Linked DNA regions of Mus musculus: regions 1, 3, 4 and 5 are each reported to be linked to region 2. Evidence: microRNA targets listed by miRTarBase, many of them from high-throughput screens and not tested one by one. Region 2 holds a microRNA gene; each other region holds the end of a gene's coding sequence.

What was found. Region 2 holds the annotated microRNA mmu-miR-1195 (UGAGUUCGAGGCCAGCCUGCUCA, at 1,987-2,009, shown strand). A microRNA usually pairs through its seed, bases 2 to 8, with sites in the 3' UTR of a target mRNA and lowers its output. Matches are read on the target gene's strand: a 7mer-m8 pairs with bases 2 to 8, a 7mer-A1 pairs with bases 2 to 7 and ends in A, and an 8mer does both.
Region 1: miRTarBase lists Arhgap19 as a target of mmu-miR-1195. Seed matches in the 3' UTR shown: 7mer-A1 at 2,254-2,260 and 8mer at 2,225-2,232.
Region 3: miRTarBase lists Ebna1bp2 as a target of mmu-miR-1195. Seed matches in the 3' UTR shown: 7mer-A1 at 3,838-3,844.
Region 4: miRTarBase lists Ppfia3 as a target of mmu-miR-1195. Seed matches in the 3' UTR shown: 7mer-A1 at 1,733-1,739.
Region 5: the mRNA of Tigd3 is a reported target of mmu-miR-1195. Seed matches in the 3' UTR shown: 7mer-A1 at 1,077-1,083 and 7mer-A1 at 1,106-1,112.

Annotation. Positions count from the first base shown.
Region 1 is chr19:41,765,562-41,770,665 of GRCm38, forward strand. It overlaps Arhgap19 (Rho GTPase activating protein 19), which reads right to left. Exons shown (of 12, transcript NM_027667.3): 12 at 1,027-4,635. The coding sequence ends at 4,625. Among named protein-coding and RNA genes, the nearest start is that of Gm19424, 21 kb to the left of the region's middle.
Region 2 is chr17:70,857,463-70,862,566 of GRCm38, reverse strand. Mir1195 (microRNA 1195) reads left to right here and starts at 1,967; the gene lies at 1,967-2,064.
Region 3 is chr4:118,625,535-118,630,638 of GRCm38, reverse strand. It overlaps Ebna1bp2 (EBNA1 binding protein 2), which reads right to left. Exons shown (of 9, transcript NM_026932.4): 8 at 4,954-5,104; 9 at 2,863-4,819. The coding sequence ends at 4,769. It overlaps D4Ertd617e (DNA segment, Chr 4, ERATO Doi 617, expressed), which reads right to left and starts at 4,235. Exons shown (of 3, transcript NR_029469.1): 1 at 3,633-4,235.
Region 4 is chr7:45,335,841-45,340,944 of GRCm38, reverse strand. Ppfia3 (protein tyrosine phosphatase, receptor type, f polypeptide (PTPRF), interacting protein (liprin), alpha 3) reads left to right here. Exons shown (of 30, transcript NM_029741.2): 27 at 1-27; 28 at 199-370; 29 at 685-756; 30 at 928-1,819. The coding sequence ends at 743. Hrc (histidine rich calcium binding protein) reads right to left here. Exons shown (of 6, transcript NM_010473.2): 1 at 3,571-5,104; 2 at 3,414-3,484; 3 at 2,990-3,058; 4 at 2,737-2,791; 5 at 2,220-2,256; 6 at 1,972-2,064. The coding sequence ends at 2,028. Among named protein-coding and RNA genes, the nearest start is that of Hrc, 3.1 kb to the right of the region's middle.
Region 5 is chr19:5,887,302-5,892,405 of GRCm38, reverse strand. It overlaps Tigd3 (tigger transposable element derived 3), which reads left to right. Exons shown (of 2, transcript NM_001362045.1): 2 at 1-1,268. The coding sequence ends at 718. Among named protein-coding and RNA genes, the nearest start is that of Tigd3, 4.3 kb to the left of the region's middle.

The DNA of each region.
Region 1 (5,104 bases), not on the chromosome of region 2:
CAGACTGGCCTCGAACTCACAAAGATTAGTCAGCCTCTGCCTCCCCACCACCCAGCTCTTAGAATGTATTCTTGTCAATAAACAATGCACACCTATTTCATATTACACTTTTATCTCAGGCTATTTCTGCCCCCTCTGAGCCACTGCCATAGATTCTGATCATAAAATGTGATAACGTCAACTGTCTCGAGGACAGATGTGTCCAGAGTGCCCCAGCTGTGCCCATGTGGATACCTGAAGTCTTCCAAGTTCCTCTGCACTAGCTCTTTCAGCACACTGGCCCTGGACTCGTCACTCACTAGCTCTTTCAGCACACTCCTCTGGCCTATGATGGCTTCCTTTCTTTCTCTTCTGCCCACAGATTTGGTTTGACTGAATTCATTGTTCCTTAATATCAAGCCACAAAGCATAAAAACAACCTAAAAGGGAGTTGGGTGTCCTTTGTAAAACAGAGCCTGTTGGGGGCACATAGCCCAAGAGCTACTTCCACTCAATATGGAATAACTCAGAGCAAGTCAGCAACTTAGACAACCTGCACTCCTCAAGGAGTGGGGCCACCTACCCTGGGGCTCAAAGCTGTTGTTTTAGTTGTGGTTGTTTTGGTTTTTGAGACAAGATCTCTCTAAACAGCCCTAGCCTCCCTGGAACTCCATATGTATAGAGCAGGCTGGCCTTGAACTCACATAGATCCACTGCCTCTGCTTCCCAAGTGCTAAGATTAAAGATGTTATGCTACCATGCCCAGCCTCGGCCTTGTTTTGTTTTGAAAGAATCTTGTTTATGTCTAGGCTGGCCTCAACTCGTCCCTAGTATTCTGCCTCCCACGTACTAGGATTAGAGATGTGTGCTACCTCATCTAAGTAAATTTCCATCAGCCAAAGCCTCACTCATCCTGAACCCACCCACATCCCCTCCCTCCATTAGAAAACCCAGGACGAGCCCTTTGTAGAGTATCAAGTTCCTTAGGACAGGAAGCTACCTCTCTTCAAAGCAACGTGAGCCAAGAGACCAGTCAGAACCCACAGATATGAAACAGAAAAAATTTAATTCAGAATATTACATGAATATAAAAGACAATATATATGATTGTTTCTTTACAATTACATATATATATGCAAAATAATAAAAAATAACAAATAGGTACAACCTTCTCCTAAGAAACCTTTTGGGGGTCGAGTGAGCAAGCAAATGAGCGAGCGAGCACACAGAGCGTGCACAGGCACGCCTTGCTGAAAGGCCTTGGGTGAGAGCACTCCTTCTCTATAGCCTCTGGACCAAGCATGTCAGGGGCATGCTCAAAAGCTCTTCAGCATGGGCTGTGGCCTCAGGAACTCCAGTTTCCATGGTGACAAAGCACTCAGGTTATTATTTATCCTCCATCTCCTCACTGCCCTACCTCCACACAGCTTTCAGCACTGGCTGCCTAGTAAAGCCAGCTTTTTGACAGGGAGTCTGACATCAGGCTACCAGGACTAAGGTCACTCAAAACCTTCATCTTAGGAAGCCAGATTCTCTGCAAACTCTGGGACAGTCCTGCTGGTTTAGATCTGGACCCTCACTTCAGTCTGAAGACTTTAGAGTGTAGGAGAGCAGGGATGATGCTGTCTCCAGAGGAAAGGATGTCACAGAAAAGAGACCTCAGCACACAACCTGCCAGTCAGCATCCTGTGCTGCCTCATCCCCCAGGGTGTTTCCTCATCACTCCTGACTGACTCTGGGAGGACCTTCAGAGTATAGCACATGCTGTGTGGAGGGACCACTGTGGGTTCCCTCAGGCCCCATCAGCTGTGCTTCTAGAATGTTCCAGCACTTGGTTCTAACCAATACTGTCTCCCACCTGTGCCCTACACAGTGCATGTGACATGGGGAATGGGGGGACAGGGCGGGGGCGGGTTCAAACCTGATCACTGGTCTCAGTGAGAAAATCCACTTCTGTGGAACGTCAGAGAAAGGGCCCACAGCCTCTATTCATTTACCTAGTGCAGATACAGATCAGATAGGATCTGTCTCTTCATAGTTGGCAACAATAACCACCAGATGACACTTTGACACAACATCAAAGCCTATGACGATTAACCCAGAAAGAAAAGAAAGGTTCTGTCACAAAGACTACGCCAACATGGAAAATAAATATAATAAAAACCCTTAAGACACAGGTCAGCTAGGCAGTGACTACACTCACGCCTTTAATCCCAGCCCTGGGGAGGCAGAGGCAGGAAAACTCTGAGTTCGAGGCCAGCCTGGTCTACAGAGTGAGTTCCAGGACAGCCAGGACCACAGAGAAACCCTGTCTCAAACAAACATTAGTTAAAAACATTAGTTAAATACTGGCTCAAAACAGCAACTGTACGCCTTGTCAGAAGGACGGCAGCAACCTTCTGTGACGACGATGGAGCTTCTGTCTGCGTTTCCAAGAAGATACCACAGGTTACAAAGCCACATGTTACAAGACTCAAAAGGTTATGCTTTTCCTCAAGTCTATTCTGCACTGGATCACAGCTTCTACAAGAAAAAATGACCTAAAATACCCTTACAGCAAGTAATGACTATCCAATAAATAAATGAAATCCACATTCCCAAATGCACGTGGTAACTCACTGCCCAAGAGGCCAGCCACAGAGAGCAAGCGCATGGGGCACCTCTCTCTCACCCAGACCATCCCTGGGCATCGCTTCCCTCTACCCACACTAGGCTCCTCAGTCCCGCGCTCTCTCTTTCTTGCTCACAGAGTGTGTAACTCCTGGCTGCATCAAGGCACTGCTTGGCTTGCATCCCTGCATAGTGCTACATTCCAGCATGGTGGGGTACACTGAAAGCAGGCTCCATGCTGAGGAGAACATCTCTGATTTGCTAACACAAAGGAGGTTTCTGTTTGACCTCACTATATACCTGGCATAAGAAATATATTTCAAAAAGAAAAGAACCTTTTTCTTAGTAACAACATCACCAGAAAGAGTCAGAAACCTAGACAAATGAATTTGCTAATAAAGATCCTTAAGGATGACCTAAAACTGCTTTAGAGAATGGAACTTAAAATCCACTATAGATCACACACCTCCATGCTCCCAAACTATCCAGCTAGAAGGGAAAACATCACATTTCCTTCAGCACTGCTGTTACAGCAATGAAACAGTGTAGGATGGAAGAGAGGGCCGACAGATAGACAACATCAGCCTTCATCTCAACAATAACACAAGTTCAACTGTCTATCATCAGTGTGGAACCGTATTTTGCTGGGTATCTGGTTCCCCACAGTAGGGTGAGCATGGTTTCACAGTTAGTTCCACAGAGCCAGGCCCATACCTCAGCATCCGCAACTGCCACCTGCGGCTCAGGAGACAGTGGCTCTCCACGCTCCACCACTTCCTGTACCCATCCAGACAAGGAGATGGGCAGGAAGCAACTGTTCTAGACTACGGGGACACATAACAACTGCTCCCTCTGGGGACCCTGCAGAGACTGCCACTCGTGCCTTTCCTGATGCCAACCTGCTCTCAGGAGACAGGTGAGCAGCACATTTGATCCCTAGGAATGAGTGACAGCATCCTACCCAAGCCAACCAGCCCCTCGGCCTGCTTCTGTTTTCACCACATGCACACTGCAGCAAGCTCCTCTAAGTAGCAGATCATGACATTTCCAAAGTGACAGTAACCAGGCACAGAGTGTATCAGTGGCACCAGCCATGTTCTAGGTGAGAGGATGATAATGAAAGAAGCAAGGTAACAACCACACAGCCATCTCACATCACAAAGGTAACAACCACACAGCCATCTCACATCACCAAGGTAACAACCACACAGCCATCTCACATCACCAAGGTAACAAACACACAGCCATCTCACATCACCAAGGTAACAACCACACAGCCATCTCACATCACCAAGGTAACAACCACACAGCCATCTCACATCACCAAGGTAACAACCACACAGCCATCTCACATCATAAGGGGAAGACAGGGGTATGGGGTGCAGCTTAATAACTGAGATGTGTTAAATACACTGTACTGACCTCTTTCTCATTGCCAGGTCAAGTCCTCTATATTAGACACAAGAAATAATAGATTGTCTAGGAAAGCTGTAAGTTCTTTGAACACAAAGATAAAGAGATTACTCAAGCTTAAAATAAAAAGGGGTCAAAAGCATTTAACTTGTAATTCGCTTAATTATCAAAATAATGGCTTCTAAAACAAGCAGTTACTGACACAGAGGAAAGCCTCAAATACCAGTTGGAAATAATAATACTCCACTAAGACCTACAGTACTTTTAAAAATATTACTAACAATTAACACAAAATATCCTGTTTGAAGAAACCAACCGACCTAAGCACACTGAGTAGGTGTGGCTGGCCCTGCCTACCTGCTGCACTGTGTAAGCTGGGGCAGGCACTAGTGGCTTCTGACATTAAAAACAAACACGGAGCACAGCACTTCCACAGACGCACAGCTTCAGAGACATCCAGTGAGGGGGTTAGAGGTATCAGTCGGGTCAGGGTATGAGTTGGCTTTCACAAGTCAAAATGCAGCAAGCAGCTGCAGGTCCAAGCTTCACTGAGAAGAGAAATAACACTTGTCCCACTGAAGAGAAACTTCACTGTAGAGGACAGAAGTAATAAAGAGAGCCTTCAAAAGAATCCTAGGTTAAAAGAGAAACAAGACAATTAGACATGCTTTAAAACTTTCTTTTTTTTAATACCCACCAAAAGCCACAAAATCTACACTTAGTGTTCTCTCCAAATTTACGATGAAATAATTTGAGAGTGTGACTCTACCAAGTAAACATTGTCTGCGCCGCTTGTCTAACCCAGTTTGTTATGTCTTCTTACTGACTGTAACAGTCACCACTTAGTAGGGCGTGTGTGGTGATGGCTATTGCCCCAGGCCCTTGTGTCCATTTTCTCATTTGTCCTCACAGCTTCCCACCGCAGGGGTAGTACGCTGTCGTTTCACAGATGTGGAATCTGCAGCCCACAGAAACTCACCTGCCCCATCAGCTACTGCACACACACACACACACACACACACACACACACACACACTACAATAGAGAACTGACCCACGTCTAATGAGTACGGAGGTCCTGCTATTAGCAGCACTACCCTTTA
Region 2 (5,104 bases):
TGCAAGAAAAAAAATTGTAGAGTCAGAAGAATGAGAGGCACAGTGTGGGACACAATGAAAAACACTCAGATGGGGGCTGGAGAGATGGCTCAGTGGTTAAGAGCACTGGCTGCTCTTCCAGAGGTCCCTCGTTCAATTCCCAGCACCCACATGGTGGCTCACAACCATCTGTCATGGAATCTGATGCCCTCTTCTGGTGTGTCTGAAGACAGCAACCCTGTACTCACATACATAAAATAAATAAATCTTTAAAACAAACAAACAAACAGAAAATCACCTAGATGTATTTCAAGAGAGCGCCAGTCAGTTGAAGAGTGTGGAAGGCAGAATTACTTGAAGTAGGGATGTTTTGTCTTTAAACCCCCAGACCAAAGGGAGGAAGCAAACAGGAGTTAGTTACCAGTGGCAGGTAGGGCTGTTCTAGCTTGCTATCTAGGACTAAGTACTCATTACCCTGAGGTAATGGGACTAAGTACTCATTACCCTGAGGTAATGGAAAGCAGGTTGCTTGTGGTTAGAAAAGAGGGCGCAGATATGAGAGGCGGGGAATGGAAGGCAGTGCTGTGTTTGCTGAAATTGGAAGCACAAAATAATGTGGGCCCCTCCTTTCCTCCACTACACCCCATCACACACATACTCTTGTTTTCACATATACTCTTACCTAGGTAGCCCAGAGTGGCCTCAAATTCCAAATTCCCATGCCTATCTCCTAAGTATCAGAAGTATAAATATATAGCTGTTAACCATTGTACCCTGCTTGAATTCATGATTTCCAACATATGAAGGTGTGTGTGTGTGTGTGTGTGTGTGTGTGTGTGTGTGTGTGTGTGTTTAGTTCTGCTGAGAAACCCAGAAGTAAGCAATCATGGTTCAGTAGCAGTGCACTAGACTGGAGCTCATGTTGATGTCTATAAGTGATTCTCTTTTCTACAAGAATAGCCAGCACTTGCTGGAAAAATGATCAGTCCAGGGCTTGGGGACTGGAGCAGGGGAAGTGTAGCATGCACCTGAGACACGCCACTGTCCCAGACGGTAAGAAAATCTTCCAAGAATGGTACAAGAGGACAAGGAAACCGGTTTGGGGACTATTGGTGCTGGCTGCTGCTGGGGCAGGGACAGTCACTGCCTTCAATTGTGTGTTCACTGGGTGAGTCTACCAACTTCAGCGAATGCTTCTATACCCAGTGGCACGTGAACCACTGTGGTTAGACTCAAGGGGTGCAAAACAAGAAGGCATGAAGGGGCTCGAGGGTTGTGCAGAGGTTAAGAGCACCTGTTATTCTTGTAGAGAACCCACATGGGGCTCACAACCATCCAAACTGCAATTCCAAGCATCCAATGCCCTTTTCTGGCCTCTGCAGGTAGCAGGCACACATGGGGCACATGAGTACATTCAGGCAAAACATGTAATATTAAAAAAGAGAGAGAGAGAGACATGAACATGTCAGAGGGACTGGAGGGGAAGATGAGAAGACAGGGAGAATAATCAGAATGCACTGTGTATATATCAAATTGTCAAAGAATAAATTAATAAAAAAACAGTTTGAGGAACTTCCTCTGGGTAAATCCAAGAATTTTTACAATAGTGGTGGTGATGATGATAATAATAATAAGAGGCTATTAATGCACTAAATAAACCAGGACTCCAAATGTCCTGTAAGTAGACAGAGCAGCACAGACAACTGGAGGGGCAGCTCTCCCTACCATAGGACACAGCAAAGCAATGGAGAAGGAATGATGGAGTGAGGAGGCTGAGATTGAAGGCTTCAAAGACAGGACATTCACCTATTTTGATACATTTGATAGATTTATCAACCATAAAGGAAAACATAATGCCCACAGTGGAGAGTTTGGGACACATCACCTTAAACATGAGATCAAGGTTATAAATAAATAAATAAATAAATAAATCTGCCAGGCAGCCGGGCTGTGGTGGCGCTCGCCTTTAATCCCAGCACTTGGGAGGTAGAGGCAGGCAGATCTCTGTGAGTTCGAGGCCAGCCTGCTCAACAGAATGAGTTCTAGGGCAGCCAGGAACACACAGAGAAACCCTGTCTCAAGAAGGTAAAAAGTAAAAAAAAAAAAAAAAAGAAAAAGTAAAAAAGAAGAAGAAAAAAGAAAAGAGAGAGAGAACAGTCTACATTCTGAGGGGAAGCTGTAGTAGCTACACAGTATTGAACACCACACACAAGGCTTATACACACGACACAGTCAAGCCTGCATTATTTGTAGAAATTTAAAATGTCAAGCTAAAAACTTGTTTCTATTCATGAGCACAATGTTAATTTCTTGCCATTTAATGAAGATGCCCTCTTGAGATGGACAGACGGCAGGACAGTCTAAAGCACTGGCCTTGATTGGGTGCACAAGCCTGACTGAGCTCAGTTTGATCCCCAGCACCCACTCGAGTACAAGGGTGTGCCACGGTAACCCAGTGCTCTCAGAAAGAGATGGAGAGTGGAGACGGAGAATCAGCAGAGCTTGCGGACCACCTAGGCCAGAGCACTACTCAGTGAGAAGCAACAGAAGAGACTCCATCCCCCAAAAAAGGTGCAGAGAGAAAACAGACTCCTAAAAGCTGTCCCCTGACCTCCACATGCCTGAAGGACACCTCCCATATCTCTGTGTGTGTGTTTTACAGAAAAAGGAAGGAAGGAAGGAAGGAAGGAAGGAAAAAATATAAAGGTTTTTGTCTTTTTGCCCATGGTCACTTGAATCATGAGACAAAATAAAATTTTCTTCCCTTAAATTGCTTTTTGTGGAGCCTTTGGTTACAATAACTATCCAATTCCAACCACAGGAGGAAAAAAAAATGTGTGAAGATTCGAGTGTATTTCATCAATCAAACAACACAGAACAAACTGAGCACATAGTGTGTCGGGTGCCAGCAGAAAGAATAGAAACGCACATTGAAGAGTAAGCCTGCCGGGCGGTGTTGGCACATGCCTTTAATCCCAGCACTCGGGAGGCAGAGGCAGGCAGATTTCTGAGTTCGAGGCCAGCCTGGTCTGCAGAGTGAGTTCCAGGACAGCCAGGGCTACACAGAGAAACCCTGTCTCGGAAAACCAAAAAAAAAAAAAAAAAAAAGAGTAAGCCTGCTGGAGCAATTTTTTATCTCTTTATTAACCTAAATAATGGGTTATTAGAACTAAAAGCATTAAAGTGCCAACTAGAGATGAAAAGTAATTGTTCTCTCTGGAGAAACATTTAGCCTTAGAAGCAGAAAACAGCAAAAGACAATGGGGTGTATAATTCTGGGGTGACCAGACCTGCCTCTGCCTCCCAAGTGCTGAGATTAAAGGCATGCGCCACCACTGCCCTGCAGACCCAGCCCTTTTGTGAGTAAGTTCAGAGCTACAGATCAGACAAGCTAGAACATTAATCATAACTGCTGATCCAGAAGTGATGTGATGTCTGGGGTTTATATCAAACAATAGAAGTAAGCAGTAGCTTGTAGATGAAGGAAGACAGTTCAGGGGTCCAGAGTACACACTGGCTTTCCAGTCCAGTGGTGTGCAGCACAGTGTGTAGAGCCCTTCCCAGAGCCCAGAGCTTGGATTCCACCTCCTCAGAGAACTAGGTGGTGGGTGATACACGCCTGTAACCCCAGCACTTAGCAGGCTCAGGCAGGAGGCAGGGTCAGCGTCTGGGTTACACAGTAAATTCCCACACCATCCTGGGCCTGAGCTATAGAGTAAGAAGAAAAGGGGGAAAAAATCCACGATTTAAAAAAGTTAAAACGCAAAACCACTCTGGGAATGGTGAACATTGTATCTGAGATTACACATCTCTTTAGGATTTTACTAAAAACAAGATGAGAGAGGTGGCTAGAGAAAGGCTCAGCAGCTAGTTGTCATGGGGTGCAGTTCTAGAGATAGATTCCCAGCACCCACATGGTGGTTTACAACTTCTATAACTTCAGTGCCAGGGGAGGGCACACACACATATAAAAGACAATAGTAAATGTTTTAATTAAAAAAAAAAAAAAAAAAGGTTTTGGGCTGGAGAGGTAGCTCAGTGGTTGTGATTGAAATGTTCTTGCAAATCATCGGAGTCAGTTCCCTGCACCTTTGTTGGGAGGCTCTTGATGGCCATGTCCATGGAAACCTTGTGTGTATATAGGTGTTATACACCTATACACACTTATACACAAACCTATGTGTTCATGTATAGGTGTGTGCACAAAACCTTTTGTGCATACATCTATACATAAACACATAGACACATAATTAAAAACAGTGTATTTAGCTCACTCAGTCAAAGTGTTTGCCTCCCAGGCAGGAAGGTCCTGGACTTAATTTCTAGTTTTACACTAAAAAAAAGATGTAGGCATGGTAAGGCAGGTTTGGAGCCCTGACTCCTAGGAGGTAGAAGCAAGAGAAGCAGAAGTTCGAGGACATTGTCAGCTACCTAGAGAGTTCCCGACCAGCCTGGGATACATGAAAACCTGTCTATAAACAAACAAACAAACGAGTGAACATACAAACAAATAAATAGATGGAAAGGATTTCTTGAGGACCAGTACATATGTATGTTATATACTCTTTAAATATGCTAGAGAGCTTTCAAAATGAGAGTGGAATGTACCAATCTTTCTATATCAAGTATAGTAAAAAAAAAAAAAAAGTAATATAGATGTCAGAGTTTTGTTTGTTTTTGTTTTTCGAGACAGGATTTCTCTGTGTAGCCCTGGCTGTCCTGGAACTCACTCTGTAGACCAGGCTGGCCTCGAACTCAGAAATCTGCCTGCCTCTGCCTCCCAAGTGCTGGGACTAAAGGCGTGCGCCACCACGCTCGGCTCAGAGTTTTAACATCAAGTTTGCTACAGCTGAGGTGTGGCTCAGTGGTCAGTGCTTGCCTAGTAATAGGGAAGTCCTAGGTTCAACCCCCATCACTGCAATCAACAAATAAATGTAAAAATAAAATTTATTCATGTCGCTTGCAAGGGAATAAGCATTCCTGTCACTGAAGAAAATATGAAGGGATTGCCTTGGCTTCTGCAGGACACCCTGTGGAGATCACTCCCCTCTACACAAATACCATTGGACTGGAAAGCCTTCCATTACCCAAGTTCCCGCCTTCCGGGGAGCAATACTCACTTCAC
Region 3 (5,104 bases), not on the chromosome of region 2:
GAAAAGCAACACTAATATATGCAGATCTCATCCTCGAGGCTTAATTGTTCTGAGGATACAGGACATAGACTCACGTACACATTAGGTCTGATTAAAGATCAGTTCTATTCTGTTCACAGAAGCCTCTATGTGAACAATGGTGGACTGATATACACAATGAGAGCCAGCATGGGGCGCCTTGCGGTCTTTAGAGTGGCTACATAGAGCCATACTTCTGTTGCCTGAATCACACAGGAAATGTTGTGCACCACTCCCAGGTTGTGAAGGGAGAGGCTTGGAAATGTCAGCAGATACAAAACCCAAGCATCCACTCTCCTTGTTTTCTGTGTCTTCATTTCTGTTGGCCCAAGGAAGCCTTTACCCTCCTGGTCTCACCAAAGTCCCCGCCATCCAGAGCAACACCATATGAACACTGTCAACAGCAGCCTGGACAGTGGCACTGGGTGGCCCGGTATCATCTGATTTGGTTGTCAGTTCACACACATGCATTTCAGACCCAATGACTTCCACTTAATATCTTATACTGAGAACACCAGAAGATCCCATTGGGCATTCAGTCAGTGATCACTTTGGAAGGCATTCCAATCACTTGAGTGCCTAAGAAGTAGAGTTGAGGCGCAGAAGTGAATCTTTATGATATAAAAAATAAATTATGTGTATTCTGACTGCATGTATAAATGTGCACCATGAGTACGCCTGGTACCTGCAGAGGCCAAAAGCAAGCATCAGATCCCTGGAAATAAAGCTCTTCGCCATGTGGGTGCTGGGAATCCTCTGGAAGAGCAGCCAGAGCTATTAACTGCTGAACTCTCTCCAGCCCACTAAGGTTAACTCTGAAAGTGATCGTTGTGTTCCCACAGGACGGTTCCTTTTCAAAGAGTCAACATATTTCTGTTTTCATCTTTCCCCAAATCATCCAAAGTATAGCTGTCATTAATGGTTGACAATGCAGAAGAAAATTTGTAAAATCAGTGTGCACTTAGTAGGCTGTAATGTAAAACAGCACACTATGATTCCAATGTTCACCTGTCTTACCACATCACTGTGACATTGAGTAAGCTTTTTTGTGTTTGGACGGAACCCAGGACCTAGTATGCAGTAAGTAGGTGCTCTACCATGAAGCATCGTTTTTTCAACATTACACTTTGTATTGTGCACCTGTGTGCCCATAAATGTGAAAGTTAGAGGTCAACTTGGAAGAGTAAGTTCTGCCCTTCCACCATGTGGATCCCTGGGATTGAACTCAAAAGACATTAGGTTTGGCAGCAAGCACCTTTAACCACTGAGTCATCTAACTGGCCCGTTTCTTTCCTCTGCCACGGCAAGTTGCCTTTCTATAGCCCATGTCTAGATTCTCACCCAACATCTTAACCATTTGTGTTTTCCACGTCATGAAGTCTCTGAAGGTTTCATTGAAGTCTGTTGCTAATGTCACTTCTTTGGGAACATCCCTGTGTTCACGTGACTAAGTTTTCCTTTACCGAGTATGAGTGTATGTCCCGTGTCTAGAACATCTAGTAATGACACCCCAATGTCAGCTATTTCCATAGTAACACCACTGCTTGCTTGTCCTAGCATTTCATTTCTGTGCACACATTTGTATTTGCCAGTCACTTCTCATAATGACTTAAATTATATGTGGGTTTATGCCTGGGGACAAGAAGGCAAGAGAACTACACTGTGCTATCCATGAGTTTTTTAAAAATGAGTGACAGGCACAATGACAGCCATGCATGGACTCTGAAAAGTCCATGCACGCAGCCTTAAGAACAACCTCACTTTCAAAGTAAGACAACATTTTTACCTCAAGCAATACAGATACTACTTGTGCATACTGGTCAATTCATTTTCAGGGACGGAATAATAAGACGACATGATAGAAGTCCTACAAAAGAAACAATGGATTCTGCTCGTATGCCTTTGCTCCAGGAAAACGGGCGAAAGACACTTCTAAGTCTTGTATAAAAGGGTGTGGTATTCATAACTCAGCATGGCAAGCTGTTTTCCTAATCTCAATATGTTCCACACAGAACTCAAAGCTTCTACTTCTGCAGCTCCCACTGGGCTGATGAGGTTACACTACACCCCAGAGTGCTGTCAACTGTTAATATCAGGTCTTCTGAAAACACAACAGTGCCACCAGAACTTAGCCGAAATGAGATCAAAACTATTTGCTTCTAGAAATTCACTAGCATATAAAACCACAACTGTCTCATGTGTGCACCCGCATGCCATAAGAAAACATGAAAATCTTCTTAGTAATACATGTGGTTCTTATTTTCAACTTTCTTAAAAACAAAGCATGATTTCAGGAGCAAAGAGGAGAGCAGAGACAAGCTGGTTACTACCCCATTTAGCAGCAGGACCCAGAGGGGCCACACAGCACACCTGCAGTCTCTCATAAGCACCTCAGCATCTCCAACCCAACCAGCAAGGCTCAGCAGACATTACGGAAAGCTGCCCCTGTATCCAGACCCCATCTGCCCCCCAGGGGCTCACATGCTGAAGGTACACAATCCTTTAAGTGATGAGATGAGGGGGTCCTTTAAGAGATGAGTCCTAGGGGCAGGTATTAGGTCCCAGGAGCATTGACATTGGTGGAGTTGGTACCTGTGTCACAAATTTTGTTCCTACAAAAGCAAGTTAAACAAGGCTGGCCCCACAACCTCTGCTTGCTGTAAGACCTACCATCATCATGCCACCGCTGCTCTCGTCTGAAGGCACTACCATTCTGGACCTAAACTGACCAAAGCTGAGGTAAATAACCCTTCTTTATGAAGTACTTCAACTCAGGTATTTTGATAGAGCAACAAAGTAGTGTTTTAGGGTTTGCATTGCTGTGAACAGACATCATGACCAACCTCTTATAAGCACAACATTTATTTCATTGGGGCTGGATGACAGGTTCAGAGATTCAGTCCTTTATCATCAAGGTGGAGCATGAGAGTCCAGGCAAGCATTGCACCGCTGAGAGTTCTACATCTTCATCTGAAGGCTGCTAGAAGACTGGCTCCCATCTGGTTAGGAGGAGGGTCTCATTGCCCACCCCCAGTGACACACTTCCTCCAACAAGGCCACACCTAATAGTGCCACTCCCAGGGCCAAGAATATGCAAACCATCACAGGTATATTACTACAAAACCCCAGCAGAATAAATCCCAAATGAGGGACTGCTTAAGGATATAGAATATAGGGTTATACCTTAATTGTGAAGTGGGCAGTGTTTAACGTGAGAAAGGGAGACAGGGTAGAGAGAGCCATAAAAACTGAGTGTCTACAGCACAGAGGCAGGTCTGCCTAATACACAGCCATCTGCCCTTTTAGAAGCAGGAAGCTCTGGGCACCGGCAGTGAGAACGAGATACAAACGCCCATTACCTTGACTGATCACCATCAACACTGTACACATATACACTATAGCCATTAACACTAAAGTGCTGCATCTGAATGGGGATGCCAGCAAGCCTACAATCCCAGCACTAGGAGGCAGAGGGAGGGGGAGCAGTTTGAGGCCAGCTTGGGCTACAGTTTGAGAATGTCTCAAAACAAAATGTAATTTGGAGCCAAATGTCCAAGGAAGAAAACAGTTCAAACAGGATGAAGGGAACAGAAGAAAATATTCTCAAAACTTACCATTCCCATCCAGGAAACATCAGGACACTGTAACTGTGGGAAAGCACAAGTTCCTGAGATGATAAAATGGCAGAGAGGGGTTACTAGGCAGATAAAAGCCTGAATCTGTCACATAAAGTGGCACACAGCTTTAATCCCAACACTCCGGAGGCAGAGGCAGGGGCAGGCAATGTCTGTTGTGTTTGAGGACACCCGGTCTACAAAGTGAGTTCCAGGACAGCCAGGGCTAAACCAAGAAACCCTGTCTTGAAAAACAATATATTTTTTAAAACCTGAATCTTTCTAAATAGCCTAATCAAAGAATAAATACCAGCCCAGAAAGCAGAGCACCATACATAGGCTTCCACTGTCAGAAAAGCTTAGGAGGGAAGGACGGGAATGAGAAGCCCCACGGTCCTCATGGCCAAGGGAGGCAGCAGGACCCTGCCTGTAGCCCTCGCATCTTAAGCCACAATTCATACCAGTCAAATTAAAGTCGCTTTCAGAATAGGAGGTGGAAATTTTTCCTGTTTCCTTTCTTTAAAAGATCTTAAAAATGGAACACAACAAAAGGCATAAAATAAGAAAGGAAAATACCAGGCACAGGAAGTAAGGGACCAATCTAGATGGCCTAAAACAGAGACCATGTAACAGTTTATGGCAGACCCGGGCTCTCACAGGAACCTGCCACAGCCAGTCCTCCCGGGGGACTAATGTAAAAGGGCATCTGGGAGACGAAGAAACGGTAAGGTGGAGGCCCGCCCTGCAGCTACCAAAAGAGAGGCATGGCCAACAAACACTAAGATTCTTTTGGTTTGGATTTTGGGTTTGTTTTTTCCAAGAAAGGGCATCTCTCTGTGGCCCTGGCTGTCCCAAACTCCCTCTGTAGACCAAGCTGGCCTTGAACTCAACAGAGATCTCCTGCCTCTGCCTCCCAAGTGCTGGGATTACAGGTGTGCACCACAACAGCCCAACAGCAGCAATACTCTTTAATGTGCAAACTTCTCCATCTTTTAAAAAGTATCTGGTTTTAACCCAAGAGTATCTTTCTTCCATAAGTTTAATTTATTAAAATAATTTTCTACAAAAAGCAGGACAAACACTGAGTGTGCTGTACACCCCCCTTCTCCTGGGTTCTTTATAGAAGATGATGCTACTCAGCGGGCTTTACTCTTCAGTTTCTGTCTTGCTCGTTTTCCGGGTCTCTTCTGCACAAACAAAACAAAAACCATATGTTGTCACACACAGCACTTGGCCTTCTGTGCCAGGGTGAGGAGTCAAGGGGAGTAGAAAGGGGGTTGAGAAGATACTAATCAGGCCCCAACTTGGACCCCTCACTTACATTTGCCCCTTTCTTCCCAGGCCTCCTGGAGCCCTTGCCGTGAGCCACCTTGGCTCGGAAGCTGGAGACATCGTCGTAGCTCTCTTTCGTGTTCCATTTGGAGCCTTTCTTCTTTCCACCAAAACCAAACTTCTGATTTTTGTATCTTCGT
Region 4 (5,104 bases), not on the chromosome of region 2:
TTAGGCACAGACAGACGGCTGGATGAGGTGGGCGTGGCAATGAGGTCTAGTTTCCCAAGTTGCACTTACAGATCAGCGCTGAAGGGGTGGGGCTTGGCATTGCCAACCAATTGTGATTGGATGCTGAATTTAGCGAGGGTCACGATTAATGGGAACTTGTGCCCGCCTCCCTCACCTTGGCTCCTCTTGTACATCTAGGACAGTGCCAAGTCCTTCAGCCGCTCCCCATCCTGGAGGAAGATGTTCCGCGAGAAGGACCTCCGGGGTGTAACCCCCGATTCAGCCGAGATGTTACCCCCCAACTTTCGCTCAGCTGCCGCAGGAGCCCTAGGCTCTCCCGGGCTTCCTCTCCGCAAACTGCAGCCTGAAGGTAAGGGACTCTTAAAAGTAACAGTCCAGATCTTGTTCACCTTCCATCTATCTGGTCTAGCCTACCTGCCTGGGCTACAGGAGAGTTCAAGACAGTCAGGGCTGCTTAGTGAGATTGCTTCCAAAAGTAAAAAGAAGGCTGGACATGTAGCTCACTGGTGAAGGAACCGCCTAGAATCCCACAATGAGAAACTGTGGGTGTGTGGCTCAGTGGAGGGCTTTTGACTAGCAATTCCGTGGCCAATCTCCAGTATTGGGGGATTTCTTGGGGGAGACTAGGGTAGTTCCAGGTTAAAGCGCTGTTACTCTCTCCAGGCCAGACTTCTGGGAGTTCGCGAGCAGATGGTGTTTCGGTCCGGACTTACTCCTGCTAGTGTGCACCTCCAGGTGAGTACTCTGCTAGGTGATTTTGGGGGGTTCAGGGTGGTACAACGGGAACGCGGGATGGCGTGCCAGATGGTTCCCACTCTGTGAACTGTCTGACCTCAATGAAAGTGACCTCATTCTCACTCCTATGAAGACCCCTCCGAAGGCTGGGCCGTTTTCCCTCCTTTCCAGAGCATTGTCTAGCAGGAGACCGCCGTGAGGGAGCTCGCCCTACGGACTGCACCACCTATACATACCAGCCGGGTGTGCGTGTTCCCGCCTCCCAAATGGACTGGGCCTGGACCAAACCATAAGAAATGGACTGAAAGGGGGCAGCCGAAGAAGAGGACAGGAAGAAATCCCACCCCAAACTTCCGTCTCCCTTTTCTCAACTTTGTAATTTATTGATGATCCGTTTCGAATGGGAGTCAGGCGCCCTGCACCTGCGGAAAGGGGGCGGGGCTTCCCTCTCGGGCCGCATGCGGGGAGATGCCACCCCTCCCCTTTCTATTGCCCAGTCGCGGGGCCCAAGTCTTCCTTCTCCGTCCGCTAGGAGGGGAGGGGAGACTCGCTGCTACAAGCCTCGCCCCATTCCCCAGCCCCGTGCCACTCAGTCCTGCCCCGCTGCGTCTTGTCGCCAGTCCTCCGGGTCATCTGCAAGCGGGGTTCCCTGACCCTCCCCCCTGTCTCGTGTTCCCCGGGGCCTCCCCGCCCCCGTGCTATGGCGGTGTCTGTGCCCAAGGGTCAGGGACGCAGCACTGCGTTCCCATTTCCCCTCTGGCTCCGGGGTTTGCATGGGAAAATCCCTCTGTCAACTATGCCGCTGGCGATGTGGCTGGGGAGAGGACGGACAATGGGGGAGCCCCCACCCCGACTCGGCCTCTTGGCTCCAGGCGTTACTCAGTGATCACGGGTAAAGACCTACTGTTTCAAAAGCTCTGGTGGTGACCAGCCTTTTTTTGAGACAGGGTCTCACTTTGTAGTCCTGGCTGGCCTGGAACTCAATGTAGACTAGGCTAGCCTCGAATTTACAGAGATCCGCCTGCCTCTGACTCTGCACTGAGATTAAAGGTGTGTGCCACCAGTCCTAGCTTTTGTTCTTAAGATGTTAAGAACCCAAACCAACCACCTCCAGATCTAGGGGTCGAAGCTGTCCTGTTTTGGCTCTCTAAGAGAGGCCGTTGCCTCACCCTGCCCTCTGTCTCCCCAGGACACACCCCACTCGGGACACTGCTGTTTCTAGGAGCACATTTATTCAAAGAAATAGATGCAGCTCTTGCCAGGCGGCCAGGTCAGGGCTCTGGAGTCTCCAACATGTCAGCCAGGGCTCTGGACAGGAGAGCAGGAAGGTTAGTTAGTCAACGTGCAGCCACTGAGCCTGACCATGGAGTCCAGGCTGTCTCTTTAACTCACAGTGGGTCAACCCTTCTCTAAACGGGTCCCTTGAACGGCATCATCTCCCGGCCCAGCCCCCACACACTTACTGATACAGAGAGGAGGAGAAATAGTCAACGTAGCTTCCTGTGAGGGAGCAGAGAGAGAAAAGGTTTGAGGGACCTCCAGGATGGGCAAACAGTCAGGGCAGTGCGGAAATGTGGTGCCCAGCCCCCTTCTAATTCCAGCCTCAAATTCAATCCCAGCCCTTCTTGCTTTGGACCCTCCAGCAGCTCCGCCCCTCAGAGTCTATTTACTTTGGTCCCACCCACTCACTTCTAGGGCTGCCCATCAACATCACCTCAATCTTAGCCTGAGAGATCAGATTCTGCCCACATGACCTTTGTCATGGCCACACCTCCTATCCCACCCATTTAACCTCAGACCACAGTCTCGGTTCACATCTCGGCTTGGCTCCAACCCCACTAGGATTCACTTTGTTGGGCGCAGTCCCCTTTGTGGGTGGGTGCCTCATTTTGCTGGGCCCGCCCCCTCTGTGGGTGGGTGCCTCACTATGCTAGCCCCGCCCCCTCTGTGGGTGGATGCCTCTCCCTGTTTGCTGCTCACCTGGAGTGCAGAGCGTGTCACACACCAGCGGACAGAGGTAGCAGAATTGACAGTGCTGAGGACAGGGAGAGAGCCTGGTCAAGGGACTGAGTCAGGGACAAAGACGAGGAAGGACCACCCAGGGTCTAAGGCCAGGTGGAGGGTCACACGGGAAGGAGGCATGAAGTGATGTAAGGACAGGATTATGCCTTGGGCACTCCGGTGGTCCCTGCCAGCTTGGGACCTGAGCTTAGGGGCTCTGGGAAGGTCTCACCTGACACTGGTCACAGTGTTCCCCCATGTTCTCCTCATCACAGTGACAGCTTTCACATTCGGTACATCGCTGGGAATAGGAAGCGCCTGGTTAGAGGGACCCCTAGCCCCAAACCCCTCGGGAGAAAATCACTTCAGCTGTTGACCTCCATGTCTGAACTCAGAGTCCCCCTCTTCTCTGGGGACACCACCCACCCTGGTTTCCCATCCCAAGACAACCCCAAGCCCATGTGACCCGTTCACTGGAGTTTGGGACCTGTGAGTGCTCACACAGACACCTGCCTGCCACCCTGTGACCCTCACCTGGAGACCTTAACCTTATTTCCCCAGTGGCCCCACCCCCAGCTTTGCTCCTCCCACTCCCAGGCTCTCAGGCCCCCATGGCACCCCAGGGTGTGCTGAGCAGCTCTGGGCTAGGGACCTACGTTGCAGAAAGAACAGTAGCCACACAAAGACCCTGGCTGGTAATTTTCGTACTCCTGGGCATCCTGCTGACCTGTGGGGACAGGAGGGCAACAGTGACTCGAGCTGGCCAGCTCTGCCTCCCTCCCCCAGCCTCACCCGTGGAGCCAGGTCACTTACCTGTGACCTCACGGCTCTCCTCTTCACTGGAACCTTCTCTGGCCACCTCTCTCCCAGCGAGTGGGTTTGGGATAATGGTGAAAGGTAGTAGGTTTTCCTCCAGGATCTCCTCCTCTTCCTCCTCCTCTTCCTCCTCCTCTTCCTCCCCCTGCTTCCTATGATGGCTCAGTGGAGCTGAAACTGCAGCCCTGTCTACCTTGCTTTCTTTCTCATCTTTTTCTTCCTCTTCATCATCTTCCTGGCTCATGGGGAGGCTATGGCCCCCCTCTTTCTCCTCCTCCTCCTCCTCCTCCTCCTCCTCCTCCTCCTCCTTCTCCTCCTCACTATGGGCTTGCCTCTGCTCTGGGTCTTCATCTCCCTCTTGAGAGCTGTGGTCACCTTCCTTCCTTGATTCTCTTGAACTGGGTCCTGTGGGTTGCAGGGGCTGATGAGCAATCTCTCCCTGAACAGGCTCTCTGTGACCCTGCCTCGCCCTTTCATCTTGATCTTGTAGCCTGTGGCTGGGGGCCTTGTGGCCAAACTCAGTAGAAATGTCCTCATCATCACCCCTGGAGGCTCTGTGGTGGTGATGGCCTGGGACTTCATTCATGTGTTCTTCTAGAGAGTCCTCCTCCCTGTCAGCATTGTGGCCTTGGGGACGGTGGCTTGCAACATGGTGGCTGTACTTGACTGCTACCTCTTCTTCACTCTCACGTCCAAGATCATGGTGAGCATGTCTAGGAGACTGGTGCCAGTGTTCAGTGGATACAGCCTCATCTTCCTCTTCCTCATTTTGGTGGCTTTGGCGGCCATGGCTGGGGACATGATGGTAGTCTTCTTCTGAGTCATCCTCATCATCTTTGTGCTCATGGTCTCTGTGTCTGTGGGCTTGATGCACATGCTCAGTAGAGTCATCATCTCCATCATCATCATCATCATCTTCTTCTTCTTCATAGCCTTGGCGTCCATGCCTGGAGACATGATGATCATCTTCATCTGACTCATCCTCATCTTCTTCCTTCCTGTGGCCTTGGGTCTGGTGCCGGTGCTCAGTGGAGTCTTCTTTATCTTCATCATCATCATCATCATCATCATCGTCATCTTGCTCTTCGTTGTGGCCTTGGTGGTCCTGGGTATGGTGTCTGTATTCACCAGAGTCACCGTCTTCATCATCATTTTCATCTTCTCGGCCTTGAACTCTGTGGGTGTGACTGTCTTCATCTGAGTCCCCATCGTCTTCCTCCTCATGATCCTGATATCTGTGAGCTTGGTGTCCATGCTCAGTAGAGACACCATCGTCATCGTCATCATCACTGTGGCCTTGGTGCCTGTGGCTGTGGGCATGATGGAGTTCATCTCTCTCCTTTGAGTGGCTCTGGTGACCATGGACCTGGTGTTCATTATCATCAGAGTCCTCCATCACATCCACCCTCTCCTCCTCCTCTCCTCCATCATCGTCATCATCTTCCTCTCCGTGGCCATGGTGGGCATGCCTGGGGACGTGACGGTGATACTCACTGGAGACAATGCCATCCTCATCTTCGTGGCTGTGGCT
Region 5 (5,104 bases), not on the chromosome of region 2:
TACCTCTTATCACCCTGACCTAGCCATTCCCTGGTCAGAGTGGCTGGCACAGTTTGACCAGGACATGGGACAGCAGGGCCGACAGGTAGCCTTGCTACTGGCTTCTGGAGTGGTAGAGGAATGGGCCAGCCTTCCTGGACTCCATCACGTTCGACTCCTGCCTCTCTCTGCCTCCAGCACCACTCCTTCCCTGCCTGGCTCTGTGATTTTGGCCTTTAAGGCCCATTACCGTCACCGTCTACTGAGCAAACTGGCTGCCATGCAGAGTGGGAAAGAGGGCACCTCCCTGGCGGAGGCCAGGGCTAGCATCACAGTTTTGGATGCTCTGCACATGGTGGCCGCAGCTTGGGCCAAGGTACCTCGCCAGCTCATTTTGAGCAGCTTTGTTCAAGAAGGGCTCGCTCCGGGCAAAACACCACTGTCCCTGGACAAAGACACTGAGATGTCACCAGTCCCTAGTGGGCTGAGCCAAGAGGAGTTTTCTCACTTTGTGGACCTGGAGGATGAGGACCCAGGGCCTAGAGTGTGCAAAGAGGAGACGGGTACTGAAGACAGTGGGAGGGAAGAAGATGGCTTTGAGCCCCTGCCCACCAAAGCCGATGCCCTGCAGGCACTGTGCACCCTGAGGAGGTGGCTTGAATGCAACAGTGCCTCTCCAGAACTCTTTGAGAAATTCTATGACTGTGAGGTGGAGGTGGAGCAGCTCTGCTGTCTGTGAGGAGGCATAGCTGCCTATTAGTCTCCCTCTCCTGTTTCCCATGGAAACGCCTCTCCAGAGACAGACTGGCTCTTTCCTGTGGAAATAGTATGTGGAGGGTGTAGAAGGGAAGGAAGTTGGAACACAAAGTCTAAGGTCAGAGTAAAAGTTGTTCAGGCCTAGAGTTTCTACGGATGGGGCCTCAAGAGTGGAAAGCTGGGCTGTGTAGCTTCTAGGCCCTGGAGAAACTTCTAGAGCTTTGTGGAGAGTTAGTCTAAATAGGGTAGAACCTAGAAAGGTGGACCGACTTCCTTTTTTTGTTTTTTGTTTTTTTTTTTTCTTTGAGACAGGGTTTCTCTGTGTAGCCCTGGCTTTCCTGGAACTCACTTTGTAGACCAGGCTGGCCTTGAACTCAGAAACCCGCCTGCCTCTGCCTCCCAAGTGCTGGGATTAAAGGTGTGCACCACCATCGCACAGCATGGACAGACTTCCTAACAGTGGCCCCATTCCTTGAATTTTTGTGTCAAAACCAATTCTGCTTCAGGAAATAAAGTTTTTAGCCACAAAGTCAGGATGTGGAGGACCTTTCTTCCTTCCTTCCTTCCTTCCTTCCTTTCTTTCTTTCTGGAATGTAATCTTGTATAGCCTGGGTTGACCTTGAACTTGCCCTATGACTGAAGATGATTTTGCACGTCTGCTTGCCTTCCCCTCTAGGGCCAGGATTATGGGGGTTTATGTGATACTCTGTATTAAACTTTTTTTTTTAAGATTTATTTATTTATTATATGTAAGTACACTGTAGCTGTCTTCAGACACTCCAGAAGAGGGCGTCAGATCTTGTTACAGATGGTTGTGAGCCACCATGTGGTTGCTGGGATTTGAACTCCGGACCTTTGGAAGAGCAGCTGGGTGCTCTTACCCACTGAGCCATCTCACCAGCCCTCTGTATTAAACTTAACCCAGGGCTTTGAGCATACTGAGCTAGTGCTATGCCTACTGAGTTTCCCCCCCCCCCCCCCGCCTCCTCAAAGCATGGCTTACATGAGAGAAGGGTGAAGTCTTTCTATCAGGAAGAACCCTTCATACACGGACCGTGCTTACAAGAAGAAAACTTGAAGAAAGGTCTCAGGGCGACTCAGACCTTTGCAGTTCTTACCACTTCAGCATCAGACTGTGTGGTGTAGTGGCCAGCAGCAGGGCAGGGCAGGACAGGACAGGGCAATGAGCTCTGGAATAATCATTCATTCACTACACTTTTCATCCATTTATTCATTTTACCACAGTTCCTTTTATCATGATATCCTATGTGGCAAGATTGCAAAGGTGACATCCCTGCAAAGCAGGACCAGAAAGCAATGACAGGCAAGTGCAGAATGCTTTGGCCCTACAAAGCCCAGTGAAACCCAGTAGAGGTGAGCTGGTTTTGCTGTTGTTTGTATGGTGATAGCGTTCTGGTTTTGAGACAGGATCTCACTATGTAGAGCAGGCTGGCCTTAAATTCTTGGAGTTCCACCTGCTTCTACCTTCTGAGTGCTGGGATTAAAGGTGTGTGCCATCGGGGCTGGAGAGATGGCTCAGTGGTTAAGAGCACTGACTGCTCTTCCAGAGGTCCTCAGTTCAAATCCTAGCAACCACATGGTGGCTCACAACCATCCGTAATAATATCTGATGCCCTCTTCTGGTGTGTCTGAGGACAGCTACAGTGTACTTACATATAATAAATAAATCCTTAAAAAAAAAATTGTGTATGCCACCATGCCCAACCTTGGTTTTCTTTTTAATTTTTATTTATTATTTATGTGGGGTGGGGGAAGCACACACACGTGCACACTTGCTACCATGCACAAATGTAGGTCAGAAGACAGCTTTGTGGACTTGGCTCTCTCCTTTCTCCTCTATGTGGGTTCTGGGAATCAAACTCAGGTCTCCAGGTTTTTGTGGGAAGCGCTTTTACCTGCTGAGCTGTCTCACCAGCCTGTGATGAGTTTTGATATTGGAGCCCTGAATAGAGAGAAAAGTGGAAAGGATAGCAAACCAAAGGAAGTAAGCATGGGCCAACTGGGGGTGAGGGAGCACCCCTGGGTGTGGCATATGTGGAGGTGAGATGTTCTGAGATCCCCCCAGTAAATTGGACATAGTAACCCTGTGTTAGCAGTGGTTAGCTGTAGGTGTTTGCAGTATGGGTATATTACACACACTGTATGGAACACTTACCTGGGAGCCATTTGAGGTCTAGTATTTTGACCTATGACCAGGTCATTCATTACACGGGAAACTTGTTTATATTGGCAGATACCCTGTAGCTCTTGTCTGTTTCATGGCCAGTGTTATGGTGGCACTCGGAGCTGAACTGCTGAACTGTGTTCTCCCGGTGAGTGGAGAGAGAAGTCTCAGAGGACAGATGCAAGTGTGCCGTGTAGGAGAATAAGGTGCAGATCAGCTAGTCACTCATTCAGTTGGCAATGAAACCAACACCACTAAATTCTTTTGCTTTTGTCTTCTATCTTTTTTTTATTTTTTTATTTTTTATTTTTTTTTTTTTTAAGATTTGGAAGGTTTTAGAAATCTGCCTGCCTCTCCCTCCCAAGTGCTGGGCTTAATGGCATGCACCACCATGCCCGGCACAACAAAGGCTCCTAACAATGAACTGTCTCTGTAGCACAGCTCCCCATCTCTCTGTAGGAGTGCTGGTTCATAGATCCACACCAGCACATCAGGATTTCTCTGTGGTTTCCAGGGATGGAGTTAGGGGTGTGCAGCAGTGTTCTTAGCATTGGGTCCTCTCCACGGCTCATCTTTTGCCTTTTGTATTACAGCCGTTCTAATAGAGGTGACATAATTAATGTACCATCGCACTTTTCATCTCATTTCTCTTAATAATGCTCAAAGTCATTTAACATTCCTGCGTCTTTGTGTTTAACCCACCTTAGCCTTCAACTTTTGTCTGCCGACAGTGTCCAGAATGGTGGATTACAGATGTGTATCCAGAAGGGTGGATTACAGATGTGTATCCAGAAGGGTGGATTACAGATGTGTATCCAGAAGGGTGGATTACAGATGTGTATCCAGAAGGGTGGATTACAGATGTGTACAGGCTTGCCCAGCTCTTTTGTTGGTTGGTTGGTTTTAGTGCTTGTTTTGAGGCAGAGTCTCATCATGTACCGCTGCTGACCTGGGACTCACTGTGTAAACCAGGCTGGCCTTTGACTCACAGATCTGCCCTTGCCTCCAACTGGGATTAAAGGCACATAACACCTGGCCCAGCCCCTTGTCCAGCTCTTGCTGGCTATCTGTATCTTTTTCATGAAAGATGTCTACTCAGAGCTGGGTGTAACACTCTGTCTCAGCAAGAAAGGAGAGAGGGGGCTATATGTTTAGGTACTCTGCTCATTTCATCATGGGTATTGGGGAATTCTTCACCTTTCCAACTTAAACCTGTGGAACACTCAGTGGCTCATCTCTAGAAAAATGTGTAATTGTTTCTTCTGAATAGAAGGGGGCACATAAAGATGATGCAATATGCCAGGCACTCGGGAGGCAGAGGCAGGCGGATTTCTGAGTTCGAGGCCAGCCTGGTCTACAGAATGACAGAGTGACAGAGTGTCTCTGGACAGCCAGGGCTACACAGAGAAACCACGTCTCAAAAAAACAAAACAAAACAAAACAAAACAAAACAAAAAAAAAACAAGGAGGAGGAGGCTGGGAGGCTGGAGAGTTGGCTCAGTGGGTAAGAGCACTGACTTTTCTTCCAGAGGTCCTGAGTTCAAATCCCAGCAACCACATGGTGGGTCACAACCATCTGTAATGAGATCTGATGCCCTCTTCTGGTGTGTCTGAAGACAGCAACAGTGTACTCACATTCATAAAATAAGTAAATCTTAAAAAACAAAAAAGGGAGAAGAAGAAGAAGAAGAAGAAGAAGAAGAAGAAGAAGAAGAAGAAGAAGAAGAAGAAGAAGAAGAAGAAGAAGAAGAAGAAGAAGAAGTTGTTTCCCCAAGGCCTAAGAATTCAAGGTTTAGTATGCTAAACTCCAGGAGGCAGCCCTGACCCCCACAGCCTTGCCTCGTGTCCCCTATTTCTCAGACTTTAGGAAGTTACCTCACATCCTGCTCAGTTAGCAAGCCTAAAGCATGTTTGTAAAACTTTATTTTTCTGAGTCATGGTCTCTTGTAACCCATTCTGGCTTTGAACTTGATATCTAACAAACCTTGACCTGACCTTTTGCCCCCACCTACCTAGTGCTAGGATTATAGGTGTGTGTCACCATGCCCCGTGTACATGATAAGGGGACCAATCCAGAGCTTTCTGTGTGACAAGCACTCTACCCCTGAGCTGCGTCCCTGGACTCTCAGAACTGTTTCTTGGACAGCCCACTAAGCTTTGATGATAAGGAGCTAGGAGTAAAGT